4 linked regions of the Arabidopsis thaliana genome follow. The protein of the gene in region 1 interacts with the protein of each later gene in a pairwise test. Each region holds a gene or a part of one and is shown on either strand. Other genes may lie near its edges.

What was found.
Region 2: the proteins of AT1G27290 (region 1) and AT1G07550 interact in a protein complementation assay, tested with the Arabidopsis thaliana proteins (one large-scale study listed by BioGRID).
Region 3: the proteins of AT1G27290 (region 1) and AT5G11870 interact in a protein complementation assay, tested with the Arabidopsis thaliana proteins (one large-scale study listed by BioGRID).
Region 4: the proteins of AT1G27290 (region 1) and BIR1 interact in a protein complementation assay, tested with the Arabidopsis thaliana proteins (one large-scale study listed by BioGRID).

Annotation. Positions count from the first base shown.
Region 1 is NC_003070.9:9,478,512-9,485,266, reverse strand, and holds AT1G27290 (uncharacterized protein), read right to left. Parts: upstream 3,863-6,755; 5' UTR 3,480-3,862; coding exon 3,068-3,479; intron 2,708-3,067; coding exon 2,691-2,707; 3' UTR 2,275-2,690; downstream 1-2,274. Other genes in the region: NTF2A (nuclear transport factor 2A), read left to right, coding at 581-652; AT1G27300 (uncharacterized protein), read right to left, coding at 1,073-1,534, 1,803-1,943.
Region 2 is NC_003070.9:2,320,578-2,329,922, forward strand, and holds AT1G07550 (Leucine-rich repeat protein kinase family protein), read right to left. Parts: upstream 5,994-9,345; 5' UTR 5,936-5,993; coding exon 5,854-5,935; intron 5,729-5,853; coding exon 5,191-5,728; intron 5,010-5,190; coding exon 4,531-5,009; intron 4,456-4,530; coding exon 4,311-4,455; intron 4,222-4,310; coding exon 4,150-4,221; intron 4,083-4,149; coding exon 4,011-4,082; intron 3,918-4,010; coding exon 3,840-3,917; intron 3,754-3,839; coding exon 3,608-3,753; intron 3,524-3,607; coding exon 3,327-3,523; intron 3,221-3,326; coding exon 3,094-3,220; intron 3,012-3,093; coding exon 2,946-3,011; intron 2,839-2,945; coding exon 2,652-2,838; intron 2,538-2,651; coding exon 2,132-2,537; 3' UTR 1,966-2,131; downstream 1-1,965. Other genes in the region: TRFL2 (TRF-like 2), read right to left, coding at 1-290, 391-471; AT1G07560 (Leucine-rich repeat protein kinase family protein), read left to right, coding at 6,743-6,827, 6,969-7,506, 7,595-8,076, 8,154-8,298, 8,404-8,475, 8,613-8,684, 8,766-8,843, 8,957-9,117 and 1 more.
Region 3 is NC_003076.8:3,822,235-3,829,681, reverse strand, and holds AT5G11870 (Alkaline phytoceramidase (aPHC)), read right to left. Parts: upstream 4,263-7,447; 5' UTR 3,963-4,262; coding exon 3,803-3,962; intron 3,694-3,802; coding exon 3,594-3,693; intron 3,524-3,593; coding exon 3,403-3,523; intron 3,030-3,402; coding exon 2,908-3,029; intron 2,805-2,907; coding exon 2,683-2,804; intron 2,605-2,682; coding exon 2,445-2,604; coding exon of another isoform or gene 2,441-2,444; exon of another isoform or gene 2,347-2,440; coding exon 2,319-2,346; 3' UTR 2,109-2,318; downstream 1-2,108. Other genes in the region: AT5G11880 (Pyridoxal-dependent decarboxylase family protein), read left to right, coding at 1-242, 347-521, 616-765, 877-1,038, 1,130-1,315, 1,412-1,534, 1,609-1,698, 1,796-1,876; SSP5 (SCP1-like small phosphatase 5), read left to right, coding at 6,287-6,644, 6,776-7,113, 7,437-7,447.
Region 4 is NC_003076.8:19,601,897-19,609,982, forward strand, and holds BIR1 (BAK1-interacting receptor-like kinase 1), read right to left. Parts: upstream 5,252-8,086; 5' UTR 4,852-5,251; intron 4,723-4,851; 5' UTR 4,637-4,722; coding exon 3,797-4,636; intron 3,711-3,796; coding exon 2,688-3,710; 3' UTR 2,193-2,687; downstream 1-2,192. Other genes in the region: TGG3 (thioglucoside glucosidase 3), read right to left, coding at 86-117, 232-449, 528-643, 730-803, 856-983, 1,078-1,228, 1,326-1,401, 1,490-1,551 and 2 more; AT5G48385 (FRIGIDA-like protein), read left to right, coding at 7,575-8,086.

The sequences.
Region 1 (6,755 bases):
AAAGAGGTTTCCCCCAAATGATTGCGTAGATCAGTAGATGTAATCTTGTGTCATTTAGATTTTGTCTTGTGGAGCTTCTATCTCCTTGCACTTCGTGAATGTAGTATTGGGAAACTGCTTTGCCATGATTCTGCTAGTTTTTTTCAACTATGCTCATATGTGATCTTGTTGTAGTTGTAGATATGCCACCTTCTTGATTAAATTGTCTCAACTCTAAATAGTTTGAGATGCTTGCAGTGTTTGTATCATCTGCCGTAAGACATTGTTTTCTCTTTTTAGTGTTGAACGCTCTTTACTAGATTTGTTCGATAAGAGATGTTTTTGTCATTTTAGTTCTTCATATCAAGGTACTAATTGTGTTTTGTTATCATATTTGTATGAACATCAAACTTGTGGAATGTATGTATAGAGCAAAGTGGGATGAATTTCTGTCAACTTGACCTACTTGTAATGAGCTACGTATGCATCTCTTGTGTTGTGAATCACGCACTGGATCACTATATGATTGTAACATAAATCTGATGACTGCTTGTTGTTTGGATTTTGCCTGATTCCTGACATACTTGTGTTTTGTGTCCAGATGTTCCATTTGATATCGAATCAGGGAAACTACTACGTGTTCAATGACATATTCAGGTTGAACTATGCCTGAGGAATTTGATGCCAGAGGTACATGGAACCATTATTGGAAGCTGAAAAGAGAGTGGTGGAAAGTTTGGGACTATTCAAAAACTGTTTGAGTTGGTTTTAGATTTGGAACATTAAGCTTTGTTTCAGGTGGTTTGCTGTCTGTTTTTATTTTAATCAATGGAGCTATTTGTTACTTTGTTTGAGATGACTCCTTTTGTTTTCGGGCACTGAACCATGATTCAGTAAGGGTAAAACAAAAGATTTTTTGAAATACGGTTCTCTTTTGGAACCCTTTTTCATGTGGAAAAGTTTGAGAAAGCAACTATTCTTTCGCATTTTGATCATATAAAAGTAAACTACTTATACTAAAAGCAAAGAAACAATGAGGGTGACCCCTGTTCCTAAATAACAACTGGTATTATTGAGTCACAAAGGGAAGCTATCATTCTTCATCGTCGAAACCGAATTCTCGCAACAGCTCGGGCACTTGAAGTTGAGGTCCAGTGTGTGATCCATTCCCATGGTTGTTTTGGTCATTGGAGTTGGAAGTCCCCGCAAGTTGGTTCTTGATTGGACGTAACTTACCTTTGAACATTCCATTAAGCATACCTCCGATGGATCTGACTGGGTGGCTTATTCTATCTTTCAACATGAAAATCATGGAGTACTCAGAGAGCTGCCAAACCAATGTCAGGATGATCGTAGCCGAGAGAAGTACATGGGTTATTTTGTTCTGCTTCTTCACCTTCTTGATGTCTTTAGCTATTTCTTCTATACTTTCTTCCAATTGTCTCTGGCCCTCGCTTTTTCCTTTGGATGGTGAAGAATCTGCAGATTCTTCTTCTTTTTCTTCTTCTTCTCCGGTTATGACATCTTCTTTCCCCTTGGGGTTTGGTGATTCCAACTAAGTTATTGGCAAAAAAATTAGCACAAGCCTGAAATGGACACATCCCAATACAAATAATGTTGTGGACATGAAACAGCAACTAAACACAATCATGAAGATAAGCTTGTATTTGTTGGATCTCATCAAAATCGAAGCAGACACATCACAGCGAAACAATTACACAGACTCACTCAAATACTCATGATTCAATCATATACCCAGAAAGTTGATTGGCTGCAACATCAGATAAATCAACAAAGGAGAAAACAGAGCGATGGTAAAGTACCTGAGAGATAAGGCTAGAGAGGAAAAGCTGATCATCAGCGTCTTCAATGAAGGCGTCACCAGAAGCTTCTCTCTTCCTCTTCTCATGAAGAAGCTTCTCAATAGCTCTACTCAGATTCTCCACATCCTCACTGGACTCCATTTCACAAACCCTTCTTCTCTAATCTCACCGCCGCTCCAAAGATGCGTTTGTTGTTTATTGTGTTTTTTTAGGTAGAGAGTATTTTTGTTTGTATTGAGAAGGCAAGTCAGGACACGTGACATCTATTGACGGCACGGCACCTCTACCATTTTTGAGCAATTTGACATTGAGATGTGCAAATAGCGTATAGTCCTCCACTAAATAAATATACTTAAACAATAATAAAACATGTAATAACACACACAACTCTGCACGACTAAACCTCGATTCACACTAGATTCCGTGTGAACTTGAAGAGACAATTATTTAAAACCATAAAAGAGATCAAGAATGAGCAAATATTGTAAGAAGATTTAAAGGAAGAGATATCAACACAGAGTGTTTCGAAAATGCAAGGAAATCGAAAGAAGTGCAACAGAAATCCTAAAATCTTTTTGTATGCTTTAAGAAATGATCATGTTACATAAAAACGACATACATGAAAGCACAAATAACAAGGCTTCTCTATTTCTAACAGTAGTTAAATAGAAAAATTCTTTTTTCGAAATGTAAAGAAATATAAAACTCCCTGATATCCACATGATTTTCCCAAACCCCCCCAACAAAATACAGATAAAGAACATAGAAAAACTCTATCGGATATATGTGTTTATATAATCAATCCTTCTTCTTCTTTTTTTTGTTCTGCTTCGCTCTGCTCTGCTTCCGGATGATGTATAGATTCTTCACCTCTGTTGTTTAATCATTTCACAGAAGCTTCCATTCTGCGAATAGACATGTCAAACACAAACATTATTGCAAGAACATGAAACTAATACAAACATAGGTTTAATTTCAGACAACAAAAGTAATGTGAACATGAATAATATGATCCACGAGGAAACAAAAGAACAATATCGTTTCAGTCAAAGACAGAACAAACATCGGTGTGCTTTTCAATAAAACCCTAATTCGAACCTCCATTTCTATCAAAATAAGGACAGAACCAAAACCCAGTGGAATCATTTCTAGATGATCAATAAGGAAACTTTGGTTAAAATCTAAACAGATCCGAGACGAAAGTAGAAAGCTTGAATCATTGAAACCAATTTGACAAACTTAACCCTAAAATTCAACAAAATTACCAGAAATCTCCTTTCCGGAAGGAGAAGGTGGCGTCAAGACGTAACAGAGAATCGACCTCCCGACCATAGAAATGGCAGAAACGATGCCAGCGACATAGAAAACCAAAATCAGAGCAAGAACCCAAGGCATCAAGAGAAACCCGATGAAGAAAGTCACAGATCCACATAGCATAAGAGCCACAGATATACCAAGCAGCAACGACGCGAATCCAGACGGAGAAATATGAGCCAAAGAAGGCGAAGAAGACGAAAAACGATGCGAAGAAAAGGGAGGACGAATTCTAGCGGGCGGATCGGGGAAATGATCAGGTAAAGAAATCGGCATAGGAGGAGAACGGAGAAGATTCAAAACAAGAGATGATAGATCGTAGAAAACCCTAGATTGTTGTTCATCTCGTTGCCTTCTCATCATCACCACACAAACCAAAAGAAAACACCAATCTAATCCAAAAGAAAAATTGCTTGAGGAAGAAGATAACTAAAGGGTTTGCTAAAACCGAGGCGAGAAGATAAAAGAAAGAGCCGCAAATTTGATTGGGTTAGAGGGAAGAAGGTTTAATGGCGATTGCCAACAAAACACGATAATCTCTCTGTACACACAACAAAAACGATCGAAATTTCTGCAATAAAAGACTTTTTTTTTTTTATTAATGAAAAAAATCTAAAATGAAGAATCGTCGTGTTTTGGATAACGAGAAAAAGTAAAGGGAAGGAGCGTGGGGACACGCGATGGGGTTGGCGAGTGAAGAAGGGAAAGAGACAAAGATGGGACCCAGTTATGACGCGTAGTTGGGTCTTATCTTCTACCACATTCTTATCTAACCTCTCTCTCTATTAAATTTGTTCCAATCATACCAGAGAAGTCGTTTTCTTGTTTGCTTTTTGTTTAATTTTTTTGGTTATTTAATTTTGACTTTCGTGTATAATGTTCGTGAATCAAATAAAGACTGATAGCTTTTTGCGAGAATGACCGCACTTTAAGCTGTCTATCGCTGAGGTTCAAAAATCAGGCTACTTGCTGTTGGAAAATGAAAGGATTTGTGAAATGATTAGTAGACTCAAGATATTATCATTAAGGTCCATGATGAATTATTCAAACAAATTAGATGAAGTTACCATTCGATTAAAACCCATTTAAGTTTCACAAGTCATATAACTAAAATTGTTTTGCTCAGGGCCCAGTATGAAAAATCAAACCAAAACTAAGAAACAAGTGAAAGTGCAAAGCAAAATAGCCCACAAAGAAGAAACATAAACCACGAAGCAGCTTCGGTTGCCCTTTAATGAGTTCAGTTATCTATGGAAATACAGATACTGATGACAAGCAATTGCAACATCAATTCAGAGAAAGAGAGAGGATTACAAATGTGAAGCAGAAGCCCTCCTATTATTCTAGTAACAGAGCTTATCCAGTGACCTCTTTTACTTATTCAGTTCCATCTAAAGAGCTAAGCTTCGATCCAAAAAGAACACACATGTTCAAACATGTGACGCATTCAAAGAAACAGTGGCAGCAAGAACCTTGAAGTATCGCAAATGAAGGGAAAGTAAGCACATGATCAAACTATAGTATTGAAGGCTGAATAATTCATTAGATGATATAATTACAATATATATAGGGACTACATTAGAATGAATTAGGGATTAATGATTTACTAAACTATCCTTTACTTATATACTCTACATGCCCCCTCAAGATGGAGGGAGTTTGCTCACTCCAATCTTGCTTGAAAACTGAAGAAAGTGTTGACGAGGCAATGGCTTGGTTAGAGCATCGGCAAGTTGGTCATGTGTTGATATGTGAGAGACTCGTAGTGCACCGGCACTCACATTGTCGCGAATAAAATGATAGTCCAATGCTAGATGCTTCATTCTTGAATGGAAAACCGGATTTGCAGAGAGATATGTGGCACCAACATTGTCACAATATATCACAGGCATCTTTGGTAATGTGATGCCTAACTCAGTAAGAAGAGAGCATACCCATCTAATTTCTGAAGTTGTGTTTGCAACAGCCCTGTACTCGGCCTCGGTGGAAGAACGTGCGACTCCCTTTTGTTTCTTCGAGCTCCAAGCTATGGGTGTAGAGCCAAGATACACAATATATGCATTGGTGGAAACAAAATCGTCATTGTCCCCAGCCCAATCAGCATCGGAGAATGCATGAAGCGAGAGAGGAGAGTTTGAGCGAAGTAATATACCATGAGTAGCAGTTCCCGCAAGATATCGAAGGACGCGTTTTGCAGCCTGCCAATGAATGTCTGTGGGACGATGCATAAATTGTGATAATCGATTCACAGCATACGCAATATCCGGTCGTGTAAACGCCAAGTATTGCAAGCTGCCGATCACTGTCCTGTATTCTCCGGGTTCGTCTAGAGCAATGCCAGAGTAGAGTGAAAGTTTAGGATGTGTCGCCATTGGTGTGGACACCGGTTTGGCATCTAACATCTTCATCCTAGACAACAAGTCATAAACATATTTATGCTGCATCAAATGAAGACCTTGTGAGGTTCTTGTTGCCTCTATACCAAGAAAATATACCAAATCCGTCGGGTCCTTCAACGAGAATCGCCGAGAAAGAGCGGTGATGAAAGCCATTACCAACGCATCACTACTTCCCGTGACAATAATGTCATCAACATAGACCAAGCAGTAGACGATTTGGATGTCGTTGATGTAAACAAACACTGATGTATCAGCGAGAGAATTGGTGAATCCCAACGAGCAAACAAAATTTCTCAACTCTTGGTACCAAGCGCGTGGAGCCTGTTTCAGGCCATAAAGCGCCTTCTTAAGGCGACAAACGTGGTGTGGTCGATCGGGGTCGATAAAACCAGGTGGTTGTGTGACGTACACCTCATCCGTCAATGTACCTTGAAGAAAAGCGTTGTTTACGTCTAGTTGTTTAATTGTCCATGAGCGAGACACTGCCAATTGTAGAACTAGGCGAATTGTGAGAGATTTAACCACAGGACTGAAAGTTTCAGAGTAATGGAGTCCATATTGCTGCCGAAAACCTCGAGCCACCAATCTTGCTTTATACCTGTCAAGAGTACCATTAGGAAGATATTTTAGTGTAAAAATCCACTTTGTGGAAATAACATTTTGATTTGGTTTTGGTGGAACCAATTCAAATGTATTATTCCGTATTTGGGCATTGATTTCTTCTCCCATAGCGTTCCTCCATTTTTCATCTCGTAAAGCCTGGTTCACCGTGTTTGGTATTTGAGGTCGGGTTTGAACTGTTTTTGCTAGGAGGGAGAGTTTCGTTTTGGGCTTGGTTATATGATTTTTAGCTCGGGTTCGCATTGGGTGGTTGTTTGTCGGAGGTGGTGGTGGTGGATTTGGGACTGTGGACGTGGCGGAGGTAGAAGACGATGGTGAAGATTCTGGGCTAGAATTTTGAGGTGTTGGTGACGGGCTCGGATTGGGCTCATTTTGGGTTTGGATGGATGAGCTTGGATTAGAATTATTTTGGCTTTGGGCTGAAGAACTGCTTGTTGGGCCTATGAAATTATTCCTGTTATCCACTTGTGTGTTATCTTTCGATACCACAACATCATTATTCGTCGAGGACGAAGACGATGAAGTTTCAGCATTTGGCCGGCGGTGAGAATCTGAGCTTAGGGGCGGCAGCGACGACGGAGCTTGTACGAGTGGCGGAGATGATGACTGAATCGGAATG
Region 2 (9,345 bases), 7.2 Mb from region 1:
CTATTAAAGCTTTGCATTTCATGAGATTTTTGAAGAATCTCAGAGACAAAGAAACTCCGTTCAGCATTATTATTATCATGATCAGAATTTGTAGTCTCTTCTTCCACCATTATATCGCCGCCGTTAAGCGGCTCTTTCTTAACTGCACACTGATCTTCATTATTACCAGAGGTATTGTTACTTGAGGAAGAAGAATTCCCACCTTCAAGCAGCAGTTTTCCAGCTACTGCAGCCAACAAATCGAAAGACGATATTTGATGGTTTTCGCTTTTCTTCTTGAAAGCACTCTTCTAGCAAAACACAAAACACAAACATATATATCAGAAGGGAACATTAGAACATATATAAAACTGATAAGAAACACACAAAAAAGTTAAGAATTGTATTTACTCTTGGTGATCTGGCAGCTCGAGGTGTGTGAGGCACCTCATAGCCATTGAATCCATAATCGGGCCTCTTTTGCAACACCATGATTTGAAGAACATTTCAATCATTCAACAAAACGAAGGCATTCTCACGGATTACAAGATCCCTGGAGAAAAACAATTAGGTTACTGAGTCCAACAATGTATTAGCATTTATCTATAAAATTTCTTACGTTGCAAGAAAATCTCACATACTGTATATGTGATAGCAGATTATTTCCAATTTCAGACATCATTTTTTGTAAAACCCTAGCTAGAATCCAAGTTATTGAAATTTCCACGATCTAAAGCCTCATTTGATTAATGACCGTAGAGTGAAAACAGAGCATGAATTTACCAAGAAAAATAATGAACAATTCTGGTCTTGTAATATTTTCATGAAAAACAAACACGGTTCAGCTTCTGTGAGAAACCAAATTACAACATCAAAAAACCCTCAAGCTAGAAAACTATAAACATAAAAAACCGCAATTCAAATTGCAGATCCAAAAAAACTTCAAAAATAATCTCACCTTTTCTTCTGAAACAAGGTGAGATCAGAATGTTTATGATCTTATTTTCTCATCAACCCACACAAAGCAAAAAAGTTTCTGTCTTATTATTTATTTTTTGTTGTGGGAAATCGAAAAACCCCTTAATGTGGGAAAAAAGCACGGAAGGAGACAAGGGCTTAAACCCCTGGTCTTATACGAGAGTAGTAACACAGAGGACGTGTCTGAAAAAAGAAGAAGAGCGAATAACCGGCTATAACCAGTAAACCCCACCCTGAAGACCTGTTCTTCTTCTCCCTTCTTGGGTCACCACCACTGTCTCACGTACTTCCCCCTGATTCGGCCACGTGTTGTCTCTGTCGGATCGTCCGGCTTTTTTTACAACACACAAACTTCGACAATAACGTTGAGTCACACATGCCATGTAATGTTTTTTTTTTCCTTTCAGTCCAAGCCATGTCATTCTCCTGTTTATTTTATTTTGTCTTTTTCAGTTTTTCTTCTTCTATTTTATTTTATAATAACAAATTTGTTTTCATTGAGAACCCTATCTATTTTCTGATGCAAAATACTTTAACCTAAACCTAATTAACCTAACCGATCGATCAATTCGGTTTGCAGCTATCAACCGATCGGCAATGCTTCAAATATACTTTGGCATCACTGAACCGAACGGTTCTTCAGTTCTTTCCCAACCTGCCGAGAATCCGAATTGAATAGTCCTTCTAAATGCTGGAAACTTTGAACGGAACGATGGATCTGAGAGTAAATACCGAAGTGAAGCTCGTCTTCTTCTTCTTCTTCTCTGTCGGTAGCATCGAAATCGCGAAGGACAAAGAACACGTGTTTCAAGAAGATGAAATTAGGATTTCTTCTTGGGCTTACAAAGTTCCTACAGCCCAAAAAATAACATTTCTACACCACAGCCTACACTTTCGGCCCACAAAATAAAAACCCAGTGAATTTCCAAGCCCACCGAAAAAACCGAACCGCATAAACAGATTCTTTAAACCGAATAAAATCACAAATATCTGTATGAGTGGATATTCTTCTTGTATAATTAAAAGAGTACTTTCAACTTTCGATAGCACAAGAAGAAGCTATTAAGTATCAACACGTTCAACATACAGACTTAACACCCAAATTGTGCAATAGACGCTTCATAATACAAATTATACAGACTGATCATTATACACCCAACCATGAGAATAATGACTAACGTGCCTTTGGGTTTATTTCGGTGTCTACAACTATGCTCAGTTCCAGAGGACTGCTTAAGTCCACCTCTTGGCTTTTTCTCCACTTTTCACATGTTTCCAAACATTCGTTTAGCACATGAACGACCTGAGACATGTTTGGTCTCTCTTTGGAAGTACGGTTCACACATGACATTGCCAATTCAACAACTTTCCATGCAGAACTTGTGTCATAATCTTGATGGAGGTTTGGATCCACTATACTTTCAATATCACCATTTTCGAGTATAAAACTGGTCCATTCCACTATGTTACAATTTTCACGGGATAAATCAATCACATCTTGGCCGCTGATGATTTCCAGTAAGACAACCCCAAAGCTATATACATCACTCTTCATGCTTAACAAGCTGGTTTTGTGGTACCTATAACAAAAGATTTTAAAGATATGGTTCACTTTTTTTTTCAGAAAGCAAGAAAATCGATCGAAGACATGCATGTTTAAATGTACAATGTGATATAAATCCTCCACTACTTACTCCGGATCAAGATATCCAAATGTTCCAGCAACAACCGTAGGTTGAGCTTCATTTCCTATTAGGAAGGATCTTGAGAGTCCGAAATCAGCAATTTTGGCCTCAAATTCTTCACTCAACAATATATTAGTACTTTTGACATCTCTATGAACGATTTTTGGCTTGCATCCAGTATGCAAATACTCAATTCCTACCATATGTTAAACCTCGTATGTTAACTAATTATCATAAATATGGAGTTTAAGAGAGAATTTATATATATCAGCTTAAACTATATATAATAATATTTCTACACACCTATGGCGGATTCAAGAGCTATTTTAAGTCTTATCGGCCAGCTCAAAACAGAACAACCAGGTTTTCCTGCAATAACAACCAAGTGGCTTAAGAAGTTTGTTTGAAAGAGAACCTATAAATTGTTGTATCAAATTTTCATGTGTTTTACCTGAGAGATGCTCTTTTAAGTTTCCCTTTCCCATTAACTCGTAGATGAGAGCTAAGCCATTATCATCATCACAATATCCAATGAGGCTTACTAACTTTTCATGGTGAACTCTTAAAAGTAGTTCGACCTAACAATCAAGGACGACATAAAGAAAAAAGTGTAACCAATTGATTCCTGATCTCAAACATTAACCTCTTTTTCCAAAACTTTAGTAAAAGATTTAATAAGAATACCTCTGTTTTGAATTCTTTATAGCCCTGAGCTGATGAATGAGAAAGCACTTTAATAGCTGCTTGTTCATTATTTAAACAACCTTGATAGACAACACCGAACCCTCCTTTACCAATAACAACTTGAAAGTTATTTGTCATTTTGTTAACGTCAGAGTAAGTAAATCTTCTATTTTCCGATTTGAAGGATGAGCGTGTAACTGCATAGAAAAATTTAACAGAATTCCATGAGAGCTATACAATATGGGATTATATTCTTCTATATGTTATTCTCCTTTAAGTACCTTTCCCAGCAGATGGCTTTCTCCTTCTTAAAACAAATATGAGAACTAACACAAGTATGATAATGGCCACTGCAGAAACAGATGCCGCAACCGCAGCTGTTGGGAATCTTGTACCGCAAGACACACAAATCATATTTTCGTCAACCCTAAAGAATAAAGAACGTAGTGAATTTCAGAAACGAGAGTGGGCACGTAGTAAATCAATAAAGATCATCTCAAAAAGAAATCTTACAATAGCTTTAATCCTTCCTTTTTTCTATCAAGAAGGGCTTGAGGAACCAAACCGCTAAGTTTGTTTCCACTTAAGTTTCTGTGAATATATAGACAAATCAGTAGATCATCTAGTTAGTAAATGTAAAACATTATGATAAAAATGGCTTATTTTGCTTTCAACAACACTTACATGACCAACAAATATTTCATCTTGGCTAGAAATTCAGGCACTTTACCAGTCAAGTTGTTTTGGGACAGGTCCCTGTTGCAACAAAAAATTGTTAACAAGTGTTTTGAATACATCTTCATTTTGTTATAGAGATACGTACAGTTCTTGAAGTTGAGTTAGATTTTGTATGCTAGGTGGTATAACTCCATTTAATCCACTTGAAGACAAATCTCTGTTTGGAAGATCCAAGACATATCACATCAGATACATTTCAGGGCTTAAGATTTGCTAACAACATTGAGTTAGAATAAATGCTCTCACAATTTCACGATTCTTGGTGGTGTGGACACATCAATTACGTTGCAGCTTAAGCCAGTCCACAAAAACTGTTTAGGGACACATGGATCGCCCTGCCAGCTGATTCTGTTCAGTCCATAACTAGCTTGAATATTCTTTACAGCAATGACTGAAACATGGTGCAAATTAGCAAGAAATAATACGTGTAAAAAGCTATATGCATATTTGTTCAAAGGCAACATACCATCATTTTGATTTGTTTCTGATTGAGGAAACTCAATGCCCGTGAAAATTTCGAAAGCATTCATCAAGGGTGGAAGAGTCGATTTCGGAGTTTTTATAAGTTGCAGACGACAAAATCCTCCCTCGCATGTCAGTGGTACATTGTTGAACATAACTTGTGCTTCAAATCTGGTAGGACGGAAAGGATCGAAATGAACTTTATTATTTACCACAACTTCGAATTCTCTAGTTTCATTGGCCTGGACTTCCATGATCTCGGCGATGTAAATATAACCGTAAACCTGGTCAGTAGCCGTCTTCAAATTCCAGGTAATGGTCATTGGATCACTGGCATTAGCGGGCATGGCGCCGGTCCTAAGTACATCTTGTGGTGGGTCATAGCCATCTATAGAATCAATAACGTGGTGACTTGTGTTTATATGCGTCCATTCTGGTAATATCAACGGCACCCAAATTCTATCATGCACATCTTGGGGATAACTGCCAAAATCAAGTTATATATTTTACTTTACATCAACTAATAACAATAATTAATACTGTATAATCTTGGTTTACGCTAGATGGCTTAAATGACAATAATATTAAAGTTTTTGTGGAGATTAAAGTTTCTGCTCATAATCTACTTTGGTTATTTATAAAGCATAAGGTGAAAATAAGGTACCGTATATAGTTGTTTGAATCGGTGAAATAGAACCGGTTATAATTCCTCAAGGAACCGGTTTGAGCAATATAAGTATCATATAGCAAGGGTCTCAACTCTATGGATGATATCATTGGTGTACTCGTCCCTGTCTTGACGAGACATATGTCCAAGATGTTAGACCTTGTGATGTGAATGATCTCCTCCAGAACTCCATCACCTGACTTCCCCATATCTATGGTTGTCCAAATATTAGGACCAAGATAGAGGTCGAATCTTGGAGAATTGTTAAGCCCGTCATAGTTTCCATATCGAAACATAACCCTGATTAGATAATTTGTGTCTTGCTTGACATTTAGACTGTAACAATTTCGGATTCCATCCGGAAAGTATCTCAAAACCGTATATGGCTTCCTGAGTTTCATAAGCAAGTCTTTTTGGACATTACCAGTTTTTCCTCCTTGAATGAAATCAGCATCGGATATGTACGTCAGATTGCTATTTGCTTCGTTGTAAGGAGACTCGTTAGAAGCTAATCCACAATCCAAACTGATGAATCCTGGTAAGACCGAAAAGGGAGAGGTACATATTGTTTTTCTTATATAAAGTTCTATCTCAAAAAAAAATTTAGAATGGTTTATTTCCAAAATTATTGTAAAAAAGAAAAACAGATGATAAAAAGACCTTGTTGATTCTGAGATTGAACAAGATGTAAGATGGATAAAGTGGCACACGCAGCAAACAGAAGCCTGGTGCAAGTGTCCATTTTTGATGATTTCTTCGTTCACAACTAACAAAACTTACTACTACCAAAGTTTTGAAATGGACAAATTTTTAGTGTTATAAGCTGCAAATGGAATTAATCATGGTGACGTCTACGTATAAATTTTGTTTTAAAAACTTAAACTTTTGCCATGGTTTTATCTAACGAATAATAACAGCTAACCACTGGTATAATATCCATATAAAATAAATCAAGACGTTAGTGGTTGATTATAAAATTTTTGAAATGAAAAATATGCAACCAGGTTATATACTCTCTATATTTTAAAAATCTCGATTCATTTGTTCACTTTTGCTTATATTCGTGGTTTGATTCTGACACGATCGGTGACTTTGCCATATATGAATATGACATCCCTTCACACACACGGTAATAACTCATTTTCTCAGGTTAATCTACTATAGGTGTGCTTGATGATAACCAATTAGAATCAATCAGTTCTACTAATTTCCACTTGCAAACCTTTTTTATAAAATTTAAACATGACACACACTTGTCAGATTTTATAATTCCACTTGAGAAAAGTCTTACCATAATCAAATTATTAGACAAATTATTTCGAATTTGGTTAGAAGATCGGTCCAACTCAATAGGTGGCTTATTGTTATTGGTATGTGAACGTTGACATATTTCCCGTTATGATCCGCCCCAAGCAGAAATATAAGTTAATAAATAATTATTTAACAATTCATCCGTTTTTTATATCCAAAGGTTTGATTTGGCATGTTTTATATTGCAAGTACATTGGCAATTCGTAATCCTTTTTTTTTTTTGGACAGAGGTGGGAAAATGAAAAACCTCCGTGGACTTCTATTGGCCTTCCTAGTTTTGTCTTTAGGCATTTCCGATTTTCTTCGAGCACAAGATCAACAAGGTATAACTTTTTTTGTTTCAGGTTTTCTTCTTTTAACTTTGACTAAACATGTTTCCTATCACAATTTAGTCATTAATTCAGTTTCCAAACTTATTTTTTTACCAAATTATTTCTCTGTTTTTTTTCTTTTGCCTTTATCAGGATTCATCAGTTTGGATTGCGGGTTGCAAGCCGATGAGTCTCCTTATACCGAACCATTAACAAAGTTAACATTCACATCAGACGCCGATTTCATCAAAAGTGGAAAAAGCGGCAAGATTCAAAATGTTCCGGGGATGGAGTATATAAAGCCATACACGGTTTTGAGATATTTTCCAGATGGAGTACGAAACTGTTATACTCTTATCGTCATACAAGGCACAAACTATCTGATCGTAGCCATGTTTACTTATGGAAACTACGATAATCTTAACACACACCCAAAGTTCGACCTTTATCTTGGTCCAAATATATGGACCACGGTCGATTTGCAAAGAAATGTAAACGGAACAAGGGCGGAAATCATTCACATACCAAGGTCAACTTCTTTGCAGATTTGTCTTGTTAAGACGGGAACAACTACGCCGCTAATATCAGCTTTAGAACTACGACCATTGAGAAATAATACTTATATTCCTCAATCTGGTTCCCTCAAGACATTGTTCCGCGTCCATTTGACTGATTCCAAAGAAACTGTTCGGTAAGCCAACTCAAAACCAATTGGTAATGAATAGATTGGTTTCCACTGGATACACTGTTCGGTAATACTTTCCATCCTTTCTCTTCAGGTATCCAGAAGATGTCCATGATCGTCTTTGGAGTCCATTTTTCATGCCGGAATGGAGACTGTTAAGAACAAGTCTCACGGTCAACACTTCTGATGATAACGGCTATGACATACCGGAAGACGTAGTGGTTACGGCAGCCACACCTGCAAATGTGAGTTCACCATTAACCATTTCTTGGAATTTGGAAACACCTGACGACTTAGTTTATGCATACCTCCACGTCGCTGAGATCCAATCCTTAAGGGAAAATGATACCAGGGAATTCAACATTAGCGCAGGCCAAGATGTTAACTATGGACCTGTTAGTCCTGACGAGTTTCTAGTGGGTACTCTATTCAATACATCACCAGTTAAATGTGAAGGAGGGACATGCCATTTGCAACTAATAAAAACTCCAAAATCAACTCTCCCTCCCCTCCTCAATGCTATTGAGGCTTTTATAACAGTGGAGTTTCCGCAGTCTGAAACTAATGCAAATGACGGTATGTCAGCAAAATCTGAGTATATATATACTTTTTTGTATATACTTAAGTGTTTTCATTCTGTTATTGTGTGTTAGTCCTTGCTATCAAGAGCATAGAAACAAGCTATGGATTAAGTAGAATTAGTTGGCAAGGAGATCCATGTGTTCCTCAACAATTATTGTGGGATGGTCTTACCTGCGAGTACACCAATATGTCTACACCACCAAGAATCCATTCCTTGTACGTCCATGGCTATTCGTAACATTAAAACAGTTTTTTGTTAAGCTCTGCATTTCGTAACATCTTACACTTTAAATGTGTGTTATGATCTTTAATTACCACCAGAGACTTGTCCTCAAGTGAACTAACTGGAATTATAGTTCCTGAGATCCAAAATCTTACGGAGCTTAAAAAATTGTAAGTATGAACACATTGCCAATTTTTTATCAAGGTCAAACACATACTCTGTTTTACCTGAATACTCTGTTTTACTTGAATACTCTGTTTATCAAGGCCAAACATATAATCAATTAATTCATTTTTGCATATGATAGGGACTTTTCAAATAATAATCTAACAGGTGGAGTACCTGAATTTCTAGCCAAAATGAAATCATTGTTAGTCATGTAAGTTACTTGGTCACTCATATGAATCACATTGCCAATTTATTATCCGAGTCTGTTGATGTTTATTTTTTACCTAGGCAGAAACTTAAGCGGAAACAACCTTAGTGGATCAGTCCCTCAAGCTCTTCTCAACAAAGTGAAAAATGGGTTGAAGTTGAAGTAAGATCTTCTCAACTATATTTAGTCTTCAATAGTTGATGGTCATTGAAATATGATATCTTAATTTGCAGTATGTCTTCACTAACACTTGATTAGCTTGTTTACAATACTAGCATTCAGGGAAATCCAAACCTATGTTTTTCCAGTTCATGCAACAAAAAGAAAAATAGCATCATGTTACCAGTTGTTGCATCACTTGCTTCTTTGGCTGCTATAATAGCAATGATCGCTCTGCTTTTTGTTTGTATTAAAAGACGCTCATCAAGCAGAAAAGGTATCTGTATCAAATTCATCAAACCAGAAATATTATTGTATGCATACATAATTATAAAGTGATTTCTAATTATTTGTGTATGGTTCTAGGTCCATCACCAAGCCAACAATCAATAGAAACAATAAAGAAAAGATATACATATGCCGAAGTTCTTGCCATGACAAAGAAATTTGAAAGGGTTTTGGGTAAAGGAGGATTTGGAATGGTCTATCATGGTTATATAAATGG
Region 3 (7,447 bases), on another chromosome or scaffold:
CAAGATATCATGGAAACAGTCGAGAAACGACCCTTTTACTTATATAGCAAACCTCAGATCACGAGAAACCTTGAGGCTTATAAAGAGGCTTTGGAAGGAGTGAGATCTGTTATTGGTTACGCTATTAAAGCTAATAACAATCTCAAGATTTTGGAGCATTTGAGGAGTTTGGGCTGTGGTGCTGTGTTGGTTAGTGGAAATGAGCTCAGGCTTGCTCTTCTTGCTGGTTTCGATCCCACAAAGTACGATTCTTTATCCCCAATAATAAAGTTTGAATATTTTTTTATTTGGTCTCATGTTGATGTGTAGTTTTTGACCATGTCTTCGGTGTGGATGAAATGAATAGGTGTATTTTCAATGGAAATGGAAAGTCTTTGGAAGATTTAGTTCTAGCTGCTCAAGAAGGTGTTTTCGTAAATGTTGATAGTGAGTTTGACTTGAATAACATTGTGGAAGCTTCAAGAATTTCTGGTAAGCAGGTCAATGTGTTGTTGCGTATCAATCCTGATGTTGATCCTCAGGTATGGTTAAATTTTCAATCTTTTAGCAGCATGTCCTAGAATCTATTCTTTAGCTTGGATATGAATGAGCTTTTTCTGTTTGTTACCATTTTAGGTGCATCCATATGTAGCTACTGGGAACAAGAACTCGAAGTTTGGTATTAGGAACGAGAAGCTTCAATGGTTTCTGGATGAAGTGAAGGCACATCCCAAAGAGCTGAAGCTTGTTGGAGCTCATTGTCATCTTGGTTCTACCATTACAAAGGTAACTCCGACTATAGTTCCTTTTAATTTGTGTTTTAATGTAATCAATCTCTTAAATTTTAACTCTTGAGTCTTGAGCTTTGCATATTCACGTATGTTCTGTTTATTTCAGGTGGATATATTCAGAGATGCTGCGGTTCTCATGATTGAATACATTGATGAAATCCGGCGTCAAGGCTTTGAGGTTAGCTACTTGAACATTGGTGGTGGTTTAGGGATAGATTATTATCATGCCGGCGCTGTCCTTCCTACACCCATGGATCTTATCAACACCGTAAGAACAACAGCTCAAAACTCTTTTCTTTATCTTGATCTCAAAAGTACTGGAATGGTAGAATCTTTAGAATCCTGGATGTGTTTCATAGGTAAGAGAGCTGGTTCTTTCACGAGACCTGAATCTAATAATCGAGCCAGGGAGATCACTGATTGCAAACACATGTTGTTTCGTCAACCATGTAACTGGTGTGAAGACGAATGGAACTAAAAACTTCATAGTGATTGATGGAAGTATGGCTGAGCTTATCCGTCCCAGTCTTTATGATGCCTATCAGGTAAAACAAATATACTTTTCACAACAGCATCTGCAGATTCTAGTCCCTTTGAACTATAGCTAAACATCCTCTTGTTTTTGTTTTTTAACGCAAAAGCATATTGAGTTGGTCTCTCCTACACCGCCTGAAGCAGAGGTTACCAAATTCGATGTAGTGGGTCCTGTTTGTGAATCTGCTGATTTCTTGGGCAAAGACAGAGAGCTTCCCACTCCTCCACAGGTATTATAAGGATCTGATTATGTTTGGCAGCTCAAGTAATATGGAATCTAATTAGTTTCTTGTATACGTTACAGGGAGCTGGTCTGGTGGTTCATGACGCTGGTGCATACTGTATGAGTATGGCTTCCACTTACAATCTCAAGATGCGTCCCCCGGAATACTGGGTAACAATACTGTTTCTTATTATCGTTTTCTGCGGAAATTTAGCGGAGGGTCAAGATCCTGAGAGAAAGTGATTGATTTATATTCTTCTTTTTGCAGGTTGAAGAAGATGGGTCGATCACTAAGATCAGGCATGCTGAGACATTCGATGACCATTTACGTTTCTTTGAAGGACTATGAACTCCGAGATTTACTCATCATTGTTGCTATTTTAGATGAATTGTATGATTACGTTTCTATAATGCTATTGCTGTCTTGGATTTTTCCACATTCTGTGCTATGATTTAAAGTCCTCAATAAAGTGATCATATGAATAAGAAACAGGTCACAAGTCAAGACCGAAAATAAAAGGTGTATTTGTGAGTTATGATTATTCTTTTGGTTTCTTTTTAGTTACTACATGTAAAATTGTCCATTGTCCAAACACATATATAAGACTTGAATAAGTAACCTTAAAGCCAAAGCTGTTTCAGAACCAGAAACCAAGATTACACCAAGCTAACGATGTTTTAGTGGGATCATGGGTCAAAATCTATCTAGCAACCAAACAAAATTTGTAATACAAGAATCCAGAAGCATCTAAATACAAGAGAAAAAAAACTTGAGGAGTCAGTAATGAATGTCAAGGACGGCCTTTGAGATCACCTAATCTGTTTTAGTTTCCATCATACAAAAGAAAAGTGAAAAATCCTCTCAGGTTTCAAGGAACTCAAAGATCAAAGAGAAAGAGTCAGTGAAAAAACGTTACCTATTAAACCGAATGCTTCTATACAAAAGCATAATGGTAAGTAAAAGCGTAGCCACGGCAGAACACAAATGCTCCAGTGAATGCCCACTGATGATATATCGATTTGCATTGTATATTTTGTTGTCTGCAAGTCCTTCAATCTTGGCAATAGTGTACGCCGCTGCATTCATGATAAGCAGATATCAGAAGACCGTGGATTCTAATAAGAAAACCGCAAATGTGGTTTTGAGTTAAAAACCTGTTGCCCAGAGCCAGAATCTAGAGTGTGTATATTTGGGAGGTAACAAAACCGCCATGACGGGAATCACCAGACACGGTATCAACTGGAACGTCATGCATAACCGGAGATCATTAAACACTCTGCCATCAACTAAGACACATATAATTTCAATCCGAAACCTGACTAAAACCATGAACATATATGTATACAGAGGAGGTAATGCTTTCTTGGTTTTAATGTTACCTGGCGTAAGCAACACTGAGACATGATATAAATAGAAGCAAGATGAGGCAACTAAGTCCCACTTTCTCCCCCGCTCTCTCAACCAAAAAACTAGAGAAAAGCGACGAATACGCAATCAATATCTGCAATTTACCGTCATTAATCAACAAACAGCTATTCATAAACCAACCATCAAAAATGATGAGCAAAAACAACTTTCCATTCAATAAAACCAAAAACCACAACTCTACACCCGAAAAATCTCTAAAGCTTCTTTCCATTAGCTATAAGAGTTGTGTTCACTTCACTATGTGCTTGTAGAACCAACCAATCCAAGAAAAACCATGAAGTCTAATCTAAGCTTTTTTACATAGCTATAAGATGATTCTTCAACTTTTTGTATTCACAATGTGCTTGTCAATATATACAATTACCGCATCACTAATCAAGAAGCAATGAATGCATAACTGAAAGAAGATTCATGTTCCGAAGAAAAGTAAAGTGAGAAAAACGAACAGGCAAAGTGTCCCAGACGATTCTGTTGTCATCAGGTTTGAGATGATAAAAAGCAGAACCAAAAGCCAAGCTTGCAATGCCTGCGTAGAACAGTGTCCATCCCCAGATCTCACCATTTAAACTGCATTACAACAACTCAAATTGTTAAACTAACTCAAAATAAAACTCAAAAAAGGGAAAGAGAATGATACCTTATGTTGAAGAAGCTTCCTCCAATGCAAAGAACAAAACCAAGAACTCCAACGATAAGAAAGGGAAAGTTGGTCATCACATTCAATGTATTAGGCACTCCTGTTCATCATCAAACCCACACAAAACACCTGTCTCTCGTTATTACACATGCACAGAGACAGAGAGAGATAAAAAAAAAAGAAGAGAGAGTGTGATATGATGATGATACCCATGAAATTGCGTTTATCGGCGAAGATATGATGGCGAAATGAATCGAGAGGAACTTTGGGAGTGATGAACATGATGATTGACCAACAGAGGAACGATCCCACAACCAAAATTCGTTTCCTTTTCCATCTCCCTATCTGTTGATTCGTCAACCACACCATTAAAAGTTCTCTCTATAAAGGTGAAGACTTTAAAGGTTTGTATTGTTTGAAGTGGATAAATCAGTTATCTCTGTTGTGTCTGATTGATTAATCTTCTTCCAGTTTAAGAAAGAAAAGGGAAGACAGATTTATTGAGAGTCGCTTTTTTCGATTAGAACAACGTGCGGCGGAATCTCTTTTTTTCTTTTTCCTTGAGTCTGACGGGTACGACGACGACGATCGATCTCTAATGTTGTCGTAGTTGACGAGGACCGCTCTAAACGTCTACGTTTTGTTTCTATTCTATTTTATTTGTAAAGTAACCCCTTACATTTTTATATCTTATATATATCCCACCCCATGTTTCTGAAAGTAATATTTTCACTCCTATATATATGTACAACGTTTCAAAACTTGGCGGGAGTGGTTTTAGTTAACTGTTTCCTGGTTAGTGTTTCTAGGAGAAGGAAAAGTTAACTAAGAAAATTGCTAAATTATATATCCTTGATGTGTTGTTGTAGTTCTTAGAAGTAACCCACATAGATAGCCATGTATGAAACAAAAACAAAAATGGGATTAACATGAGACAAAGTTCAAAAGAGAATGAACTAAGAGTCTAAATGCTCTTTATGCTACAAAGTATTCAAGAAAACGAAAGAGTATAAGAGAAAGATGGGGAAGAAGATGAAACAATCATATGTATTCTCAAATTACAAACATATATTCTAAAGCTCAAATTGGGAACGTAAATATATCAATGTTGTTTTAAGCCATCATGTCCTCTCTGAATCATCCATTGTGCCATGCTTGAATACAAGTTTGATGTTGTTCATTTCTTTGAATAATATTGGCAGGTTGAGTGTTTTTCAGTTTGTGTTGGATCAAATTGTCTTTTATTTGGATTTCGTCGTAAACATAATCAGCAGAACACGTCATTCATGTCATACCTCTTAATCTTTTATGTGTTTGGTAATAAATCTGCATAATCATGACATGAAACAACATTCCACAATTCTATATAGCATTCTAGCTATAACCAATGAAAAATAGATCATCCTATATATAGTAGTACTAAACAAAGATTATTCTAAACCAACTTAACTTGTAACATCAAATCTAATCAAGTCACATAATCTTGTATAATTTCATTTTTCAAAGAAAATATTCAAAAGTCTTCAAAACGTTTTTTTTATTCCAATAATCCATAACATGCATGTTCAATTTGTAAAAAACAGAAGGTTCCTTTTTAAGAAAAAGACACTTCTCTAGTTCTCTACGGCATCGTTGTACTATCCTCCAACCGGAGATGACGTCATCATTTACCGGCCTAATACTCTTCGAATGTTTGGGGTTTAGTTTAACAAATCAAAAACTATCGAGGTTACTAATGAAATATTAATAAAGTATGAGGGCATTTAAATGAAATATTTCATTGCTTATGTAGACTATAGTCGTCTGTCATTCATTTCGAGCAAATATTTTACTCTTTTATTTCGAAGAGAGAGAGAGAAGAAGACGGAAGCTAGAAGAAATCGTTTTTGATCGGAGGTACTTTTTTCCGACGAATATACTCTCTCTAGGGTTTTCTTTTTTCTCTCTCTCCCTCTCCGTTTCTTCTTCTTAGCTCTTCAATCTCAGCTCGAATTTCTGGGCTACTGAAGTTTAATCTAGGTGTGCGCTTCGTTGAAGAAATTTTGAAATTTGCAGAGAAATTTGCGGAGAAAGCGGAAAGATTAGATTTATCCATCGTTTATCCCAGTAAAAAGCTTTGATTTTTCCACATGTCTTTTTTCCCCCCTTTTTTCGTATTAAAAGCCCTAGATATATATATCAAAATTGAAAATTATCTGAAATCGATTTCGTGGGTTTCAGTTCCGGTTCGGTTCTCTTTCTTAAAATATTGATTTCTGTCACTTTCCGCGATGAAAAGTTTTCGAATTTTGCTTCTTTTGGCTCCAAAGTTTTTATCTTTCAAATATTTTAAATCTGGGTACTTTTTTGTTTTGGTTCCTTCTTTGTGAATTGTATCTAGGGCTTTGCTCCTTTTCTAATCCAAGATCTGTTTTCGTTCTCAGATAGTGTATGAGCTAGTTGTTTGTAATTTGACGGCTCTCGGGAACTGATCTATCTCCGGTGTCTCTGCTTTGTCGGTAGCTACAGGAGTGAAGAGAGTTTCTACAAGGTAAATTTGAAAACTTTATCATTGAACCTTGTACTTGTAGATTTATAGTAGTGTTTGGGTATGAATGTGAATAATGGTCAGATATTGAAATTGTGGAGTAGTTGCATTAGGCTCTGAGTTCTGTTGTCTAATTCAGTTACAAGTTGATGTTAATAGGGTTTTAATGGAAGATGATGACTCTCCTTCTTCTCGGGATTTGGATGCACAGAACCCTTATGATCGATTGCTTGCTCTAGATACAAGTACCGTAGATCCAAATTGTAACTTGGATTCGGTTTCTGCCATTTATCTAGCGATGAAGAGCTCTAAGCTGGAATGTGTTGACGAGCGTGGTCAAGATTCCCTTATTACTTCGGTATGCATGGAGGATGAAGAGGATGAGGAGCTCGATGAGTTTGATCCTTATCTGTTTATCAAGAACTTGCCGAACCTGTCTTCTGTTGTCCCAACTTTCAGGCCGGTCTTGCTTCCTAAACAAACCCGAAGCTGTCCTCCTATTTCTCTTGTCCTAGACCTTGATGGTAAGGCTACTTTTCAGTTGATTCGTTTGTTTAAAATTGTATCTCTCTTTGCAGGTTTTAATGGCACACAAATCTTAGTTTTTTCTCACCAGGTTTTAAGGCTACTATAACATATATGTTTTATTTTGCAGAAACTCTTGTGCACTCGACTCTAGAGCCGTGTGGTGAGGTAGATTTCACATTCCCAGTGAATTTTAATGAAGAAGAGCATATGGTGTATGTGCGATGCCGTCCTCACCTCAAAGAGTTTATGGAGAGAGTGTCCCGACTTTTTGAGATCATTATATTTACAGCTAGCCAAAGTATTTATGCTGAGCAACTTCTGAACGTGCTTGACCCTAAGAGAAAGCTCTTTCGCCATAGAGTGTACCGTGACTCGTGTGTTTTCTTTGATGGTAACTACCTCAAGGATTTGTCAGTCCTCGGGCGTGATTTATCTCGTGTTATCATTGTTGATAACTCCCCACAGGTATTATACTCTTATTATCCTTCTACACAGTGAGTAAACACGTTTAGTTCTCCATTCTTATGCTTTATACCTAAACCGATCGATAGATGCTTTTATCAGCTATAATTGTAGGATACACTTCTAGTATAGGAAAACTATAATAACTATGAAAGGTAGTATGGGCGAATCCAGTAGAAGTTCTTTGTTTGCAAAAGCTATCTCATTGGTTTTGTAGGGTTGATGAAAAGAAGTTGATTCCAGAACCGCCATTAAGAATTCTCTAAGCTCGATCTAAGGCTGTTGCACAATCTCATTGGTGTTTTTCTTTTTCTGCAATGTTTTAGGCATTTGGTTT
Region 4 (8,086 bases), on another chromosome or scaffold:
AACATAGATAAATCCCAAGTATATTTATGTATGTTATCTTTTTCTTAAAAATAATGAAATATAGGGATGGATCATGCATGCATACCCATGGACCTATGGGACCATCTTTATTTTCATCTGTAAACACAAAGATAAAGTAATGGGATGGTCACAAAATATTGTAAACAAATTAAGAAGATAGTATTTGTAAAGAAAAGTTGTAACTAAATAGCAATATAGATATAGATGTACATGAGAATGCTGAGAGCGAGTCATTCAGGACGGTGAGTCTATTCGGAGGATTTGCGGGAATGGCATAGACATACTGAGTTTGGTAGTAGTTGATACCAAGAAAATCATATGAACCCTTTACAAGTTTGGCTTCTTTCTTATTGAACTTTGGAAGGCGTCGACCCACAAGTTTTCTCATGATATCAGGGTATTTACCTTTTGTTAGTGGCTCCATGAACCTATTTTATACACATGCCTTAATAAGTTTCTATAAATGTACATCTATTATTTATTTTTGGATATATTGAGAGATATACCATCCCAAGAAGAATTCTTTGTTCCTCTCAGTCGCATCTATGTTGGCTTGAGTGCTATCATATGGAACAAACCATCTAGTAATCATCACAACTCCAATCTGTCCTCTTTGTTTTGGCTGTTGTGAGGAAGCATTGCATATATATATATAAAATTATCTAGAATCAGATGTCAGATTATATCTTTTTCAACCAGAGAACTCACCTTATATTTTTTCCGGTAAAGATGGACGACTTTGGCATGAGCAAGAAGCTGGTTATGTGCAACGATATAAGGTTCTTCCAGAATCTCCGGCGTAACAATCTTTATTAAGCCAATAAGAACATCGACCCGGTGCATCTGTTCCCATTGCATAACCTCTAGTAGGAACGGTATAGAGTTGGTTGATCGTGATCCACTTCTTAACCCTATCACCGAATATCTTGAAACATAGATTCGCGTAATCTTTGAAATCGTCTCTGCTCATATTATAGAATCATTTCGTTAATGCGAGATCAAATCTTTTATATGTTGTCATATTTATTAAGAAGTAGCATGGCATCGATAACATACATGATCTCATGGTTCAAGAAACCTTCATATTCATCTTGCAGAACTTGAGGAAGGTCCCAATGGAAGAGGGTAACAAAAGGAGTTATATTCTTTGCTAGGAGGCCATCTATGAGATCGTTATAGTACTTAACACCTGCTTGGTTTGATTCCCCTCTTCACCTTTCCTCCTGCTCATATAGATCGTAGATTTATTTTTACGACAAACAATATATATTCATATATACATGCATGGATTAATGTGTACATACTTGGAGCGATTCTTGACCAAGCAAGCGAGAATCTATAGCCGTCAACCCCGAGTTCGGTCATTACGTCTATATCTTTCTGTAGTAATACAAATAATCACATGTAAATTCCACACGTAGTTGATAAAAATTCAGTGACTAAATTCAGTAATTCCACACGTATTAACCTGCCAGTGCTCATATGATCCACAAGTGCTGTCTCCATTCCCTAAATCGGGTCCTCCTTTCTCTGGTAGCGTACAAAGACATTACTATGAATGTATAGAGAGATAACGTACCGACACTTCTCTCGTATAAATATGTAAGCCTTTATATATCAACCATGCAAACGACAAACCTGGATATCGGTGAGTGAAGCCATCCCAAACGTTAAGGCCACGGCCTTTTCCACCTTCTATCTGAAGTGAAACAAAACAACCATGCAACGTTGGAATTTAGTGTTAGTGAATTGTTTTTTACGTCAAAATTGGGAGAATATGTGATCTGTTGCATGCCTGGTAAGCAGAAGATGCAACACCGAAGATGAAGTCATCATCGAAATGTTTTCTGTTGAAACGATCAGTTTGGTTACATGTGAATGGCTTGGTCTCTTCGCACGTAATCTCTTCAGCTTTGCAAGTCTCCACTGCTAATAGAAGAACTAAGCCGAGTGCACGAAACTTCATGGTTAATCGGTACATGTATGTTTTCATTCAGCTGCATGGAAACCTAATGCGGTCTCAATTAAACTTTAAAAGAAGAAGTTTTTGTAGAAAATTTAATCTTTGCTTTGTATATTTGTTTTGGTGTCCTTAAATAGAAATTTTACATCAAGGAGCTAACGAAATGGAATCATGGATTCCTATAAAATTGGAAGTGAAAAGGTGATGTAAGAACACTTGTTAATTCTTCTATTATTGTCGACGAGAATTAAGCAAAAAAAAAAGAAAACCAAGAATTGACTAAGTCTAGTTATTTTGAATTTGGTATTCTTGACCCAATCATTCGTCATTGCAATATATTTGTGGTTTGTCCAATTTCGGACAGAGTTTCGTTGAAATCTCCATAGTCAGTGGGTCCAAATCGAGCACATAGTTAGTCTTCAAAGATATCCCACGTGATGACTGTATTCTCCTCAACCAAATTAGTGCTGCAAAATATAAGGCAGCAAAGACGTAGTGGCAAAACCAAAACAGTGACTGTACCACACACCCAAAGCTTAGTACATAGTAATAAGAGAGTGCATCTAACAATATATCATATTACAACACACCATCGACGACGAGAACCCAAAAATAAAATAAAAACAATACTTATACATTATATATATCTTTGGACTGCTACGACTAGAGATGTTTGTTTCACAATTCTTACCCTTCCTCTTGATCAACGAGCAACTATGAGCTCTTCAATGAAATCGCCTTCACCTGATTCAGATGGGATTAAGATATCATCATCGGCGGTGAAGTTGTAGCTCTCTCCAATGGCTCTTAGAAGCTGATAAACTTCAAACATGGTTGGCCTCTGCTTTGCTATTTCCGGTAGAACGCAGTTGCATGCTACTTTGAGTACTTTGAAGATTTCATCATCCACACCGTTCCCAAGTAAGGACCTGTCGATTGCTTCCTGCAGTTTTGATTCACTTGATAGCTTTGTAATCCATTCCACGAGGTTACCCTTGAAGTTTTCTTCCTCAGCTTTTTCTTCAGATACTTTTGTTACACTCGTTGCTTTTTGGCCCGTTACTAGCTCTAGAAGCACAACACCGAAGCTGTAGACATCTCCTTTTGGAGTTGCAACCATGGTTCTTGAATACTCGGGAGCAACATAACCGAAATCCCCAAATTCTCCATTGACGAATGTGCTTAAATGGGTATCAATTGGGTTCATCAGCCTAGCTAGACCGAAATCCGAGATCTTTGGCTCAAACTCTGCAGTCAACAATATGCATTTCGAGCTTATGTTGCGATGGATGATTCTCGGGTTGCAGCTATGATGAAGCCATGCCAATCCTTTTGCCGTCCCAATCGCGATTTTCAGCCTTGAAGGCCAATCCAAGGGCTTGAAGGATTCTTCATCTGCAGGATGTAACTGATCATAAAGGTAACCGTTTGCCATGTACTCATACATTAGAAGCCTCTCCTTATTGGCAACACAATAGCCCAAGAGAGGGACTAAGTTTCTGTTTTTAACAGAGCCCAAAGTCTTCATCTCTGCATCAAACTCTTTCTCAGAGCGTTGAGAATCCTGCAACCTCTTTATCATAAGTAGAGACCCGTCTTCAAGCCTACCTTTGTACATAGTTCCTGTTCTTCCTGTTGCAATGATATTATCTTTCTTGAATTCCTCTGTTGCCTTCATAAGATCGCTTAATTTCATCTTTGAAACCGATTTCTTAAACATGAAAACCTGAACATTCACAAAAGCACCAAACATATATCATAAATTTAGAACATAACCACATACAGCAAAATTCAAATCAATGATGTTTTTACCTTAACACCTTTCTGTCCTTTCAAGCTCTTTGCCCATCTGTTTCCTTCAGGATCATCCTGCTTCTTCCGAACAGCACCCAATTTACGGAAATAGAAGAACAAAACAACCCCAACGACTAATGCTGCTGCAGTCAGTCCACCAACTGCCGCTATAATAACAACTTTACCACGAGAGCTAGAAGCACTCTTACAGTCATCTAGAGGCTTACCACACAGATCCAGGTTATTAGCAAACAATTCCTGCTTAAACTGCAAGGTTTGGTTGAAATTTGGGATAGGACCAACGAGACGATTGTCAGACACAGAGAATGTTTTGAGCCGTCCAAGTTGCGCTAGCTGGGGAGGAAGAGTACCCGTGAACTGGTTATGCTGAAGCATAAGAGTGTTCAAAAAGGTAATGTTGGAGATCAACATAGGGATTTCACCAGAGAAGCTATTGTAGGAGAGGTCTAGAATCGTAACAAGTGGAATCAAGGTGCTAATGTTGGCTGGTAAAGGTCCAGAGAAGTTGTTTCTAGAAAGATCTAAACCAGTGAGATCAGCACATAGCTTAACCGCAGGAGGAAACACTCCTCTAAGACCATAACCAGATAGCTTAATACTCAAAACCCTATTCTCATCATCATGCCAACAAGTCACACCACTGAACTTGCAGATATAACCAGCAGTCTCGTTGCCAAAAACCCAAGTCGATAAATATCTATTTGGATCCTCTACTTGAGATTTAAAGGTCCTTAAGCAATCTATGTTGGCCTGATCCGCGTCAACCAAGCTCGAGAGTAGCAGCAAACAGAGACAATTATAGAGCCAGATTACAAAAACTAACCTACCCATCATCATAAATCCACTAAATTCCACAAAATGTGTAAAATCTCTATGAACTACAGCAACAAAATCAAGGGTTCTCTTCGATGAGCATCAAAATCCTGTAAGCAAATAAAAAAAAATCAAAACTTTATTAGCAACAACGAAAATTGGATTATCGCCAGCGAATCAAAAAGACTAAAGCGATCTTTAAAATTGAAGTTGACTTAGAAAAATTTACAACAACTTACGAATCAAAATCAGAAACACAAAACGAAAGCTTTGGTCTTTGTAGTCGTCGTTGTCGTGGTGGTGGTGCTCTTGTTCATAAGTGTTGAAGAGCACAATGAAGAAGGAGAAGAAAATCGCATCTGTGGCTAAGTGGTTATGAATGATGATGATGATGATGATGAAGAAAGGAGTTGGGAATAATTTAATAAAGGAGTCGTCTTTGTGAGTGAGTTGACTGGGACTTTGGATCGTCGTCGTCGTCTAGTGAAAGTTCGTGAAGAATGGGGCAAAGAAAAGAGAGACACTGATGATGAGAACGCAATGACTCCCAACAAAAACCAAATCGGTCTTTGCGCGTTAAATGTTTTTTTTTTCTTTCTTCTCTTTTTGACTTTTCAACATCATCATATATATTATCTTGTTTGTTAGGAGATGGACAAATTTTTCTTCCATTTGGTATTTTTCGCTTTTCATTCGTTTTTAGATAATTCTGGATATTTTGTAAATGGTTTTGGTGTTTTGACCAAATCAAAGAATGGAATATGACATTTACAAGAAATGTTTTCTTGGTATTAGTTTTTGACAAATACCAATGCATAATAATTTGTATCACAAAAATTGAATATCATGTCACATATTTAAATACTTATTAGGAGTAGTACTTATTTTGTTGTTGTTGGAATCTTTAAATTATGGGTTGACAGTTATATATATATATATATATATAAAAAGCTTGTTCATTTAGCAGATGTACCCGCCAACCACGGTTCAGCAAACACCCCAAAATGTTAATTCGTGTTGTTTATGTATTGTCAGTTTGTAACATAACGATTTTAGAAATTTTACAGAGTGTTTATATACAGAGACTCTAATACCATGTAGACTAAGAGTATATCGAATATATGAAACAAGATGATTACAGAGTGTTTATATACAAAGACTAGAAAGCTACTGAAGGAAACTTAATATTGTATACAATGATTATGAGCAATTAACGTGATTGACGATATTGATTCTCTTCATTATCTTGATTGATATGATTATCCTTGATAGTCAGTTTGTAACATAACGATTTTAGAGAGGAGATAAACCACGAATCACAACCTCTAGTCTCTCCCAAGCCAAATCCGCCATTCGTGACCTGAACCAACTTCGAAATTCATTTGATATTTGTAATGTTTTGTACCAAATCATTCACCATATATAATACAATTGTAGAATTCCAACAATTTGGGAAGTTGTAAGATTTATTTACTCTTGGTTTAGTCTTTCCTCTTTGACAAATACCAATGTATAACCAAACTATATTTTCATTGTTGCTCTTATTAAGAAAACAATCATATATAAATTTTGCATTCAAAAAAATTAGACACATAGTTTCATCCTTGGAGACAATTTATATGATCGAAACATCCGATGAAGAATATCAGTCTATGAAAGATTGTGCAATCTAGTTTTTTCCCCATTATAACATAGCCTTAAGCATGAAGCCAAAGCTTCGTCAACAGGTTAAAAAGATTGGGTGTTTGGTAAAAAAAGTTAAGGAATTTAAAGAGTGATTGATACACATAGATGGTGAATATACCAATTAATAGAAAAAAAGGAGGAAAGAGTAAATTACAAGTTCCCGGCAGTTTCAGACAAACTCACGTGACGCAAACTTTAAAGGGTTTGACTAGAGCCACATAAGCTGTCTGGTCCGAACCAGATATGATAGTGAAGAACGAGCCATTAAACCACACCAGTCTCTCTCACGTGCCAACTAAGTAAAATTGGGTGTGCTTAATAAAGTGTCTGTTATAAATCGCTTTGCTTCCTTTTATTTTGCCTCTCTTCTACTTTCCTCTTTCCTTTTTAGGGATTTCACTTTCCTCTTCTCTCTCTCTCTCTCTCTGCCTAACCTCGATTTCTCTCGATCGCTCTTCACCATGGATCTACGATCATGTGGTCCTTCTTGAAGTTTTTTGATCTCTTCTTCTTACGGGTTTTTACTTCGTTTGATTTTCCTGGTAAAGTTGCTTTTTTTTTATCTTCTCTTGAGGTATATACTTTTTTTTTGTTTTGAGTTCATGTTCGTGTTCTCTTCACTGTAGCTAGGGTTTGTTGATTTCTCCACAATATAGCTCAAAATTTCTGCTATGACCTTGAATTTTGGTCGTGAAGTTTGTTTATGTGATGGATTAAGCTGGGATTTCATAGAATCACTGAATCAGCTTGCTTGTTTCTACTCTCATTTCGTCATCTACTCTTCTCTTAATCTGTATTTGTATTATTTCAGCTAATTTTTTTATAAGTACGTCTGATTAGTTCTTGAGGTTGAATTATCTTTGTGACTAAAAAATAGTGTGAATTTTTCTTGAATGGATTCATTTTTTTGGGGGTTTCTTGTTCATTTGTCTTTACTTGCCTTGTAGGCCATTTTCTTACATAGTTGTCCACTATGACTTGTACGGTCTTGTTACAGAGCTAATTTGTTTTTATCTTTAACGAGTGATATTGTCATTGGATAGTTTTGACTGATCTTTGTTTATCTGTTCTTGATGATTTTTTTTTTTGTAGTTGTTTGTTGTTCAAGGATCGAGATTTCGTGGAGCTCTCTATTCGCAGCTTGGAGATTGGACTTGTTTGAATTGGTAACAATATTGTGTCTGGCCTCTAATGTCGTTGTACTCATGTTTGTTTTTATTTGTTCGGGACTTTTTAATCATTACTTAAATTTCCGTTTTATTTAGGCTCTTTTGTGATGGAGGATACTCGGTCAGTTGCTTCACTCATGGACTCTACATCATCCAAGATTCAGCAGCTTCAGAAGGCGTTTGCTGAACTTGAAAGTCAGCGTGCTGTAACACTTAATCTGAAGTGGAAGGAACTTGAGGAGCATTTTCATGGGCTTGAGAGGTCTTTGAAGAGAAGGTTTCATGAGCTTGAAGATCAAGAAAAAGAGTATGAAACCAAAACAAGGAAAGCTCAAGAACTGTTGGAGAAAAAGAAGGCAGCTGTTGAGGCTAAGGAGAAGGCGGCGCTTGAAAGGCTTCAGAAGAAGAGAGACGCAGCTATGTTTACTATAAACAGTGCTTTGGATAAGTATAACAACGCTCCTGTCAGTAAACCTTCTGTTGGTGAACGTTGGCCACAAAATGCTGTAGAGGATTCATCCAATGTCTTTGCTGCTGATAGTATTACCGATGATAATCCGGATGGTATTGTGCAAGATGTTCAGATCTCACCTGTGATGGGAAATTATGAGGTGAAGGC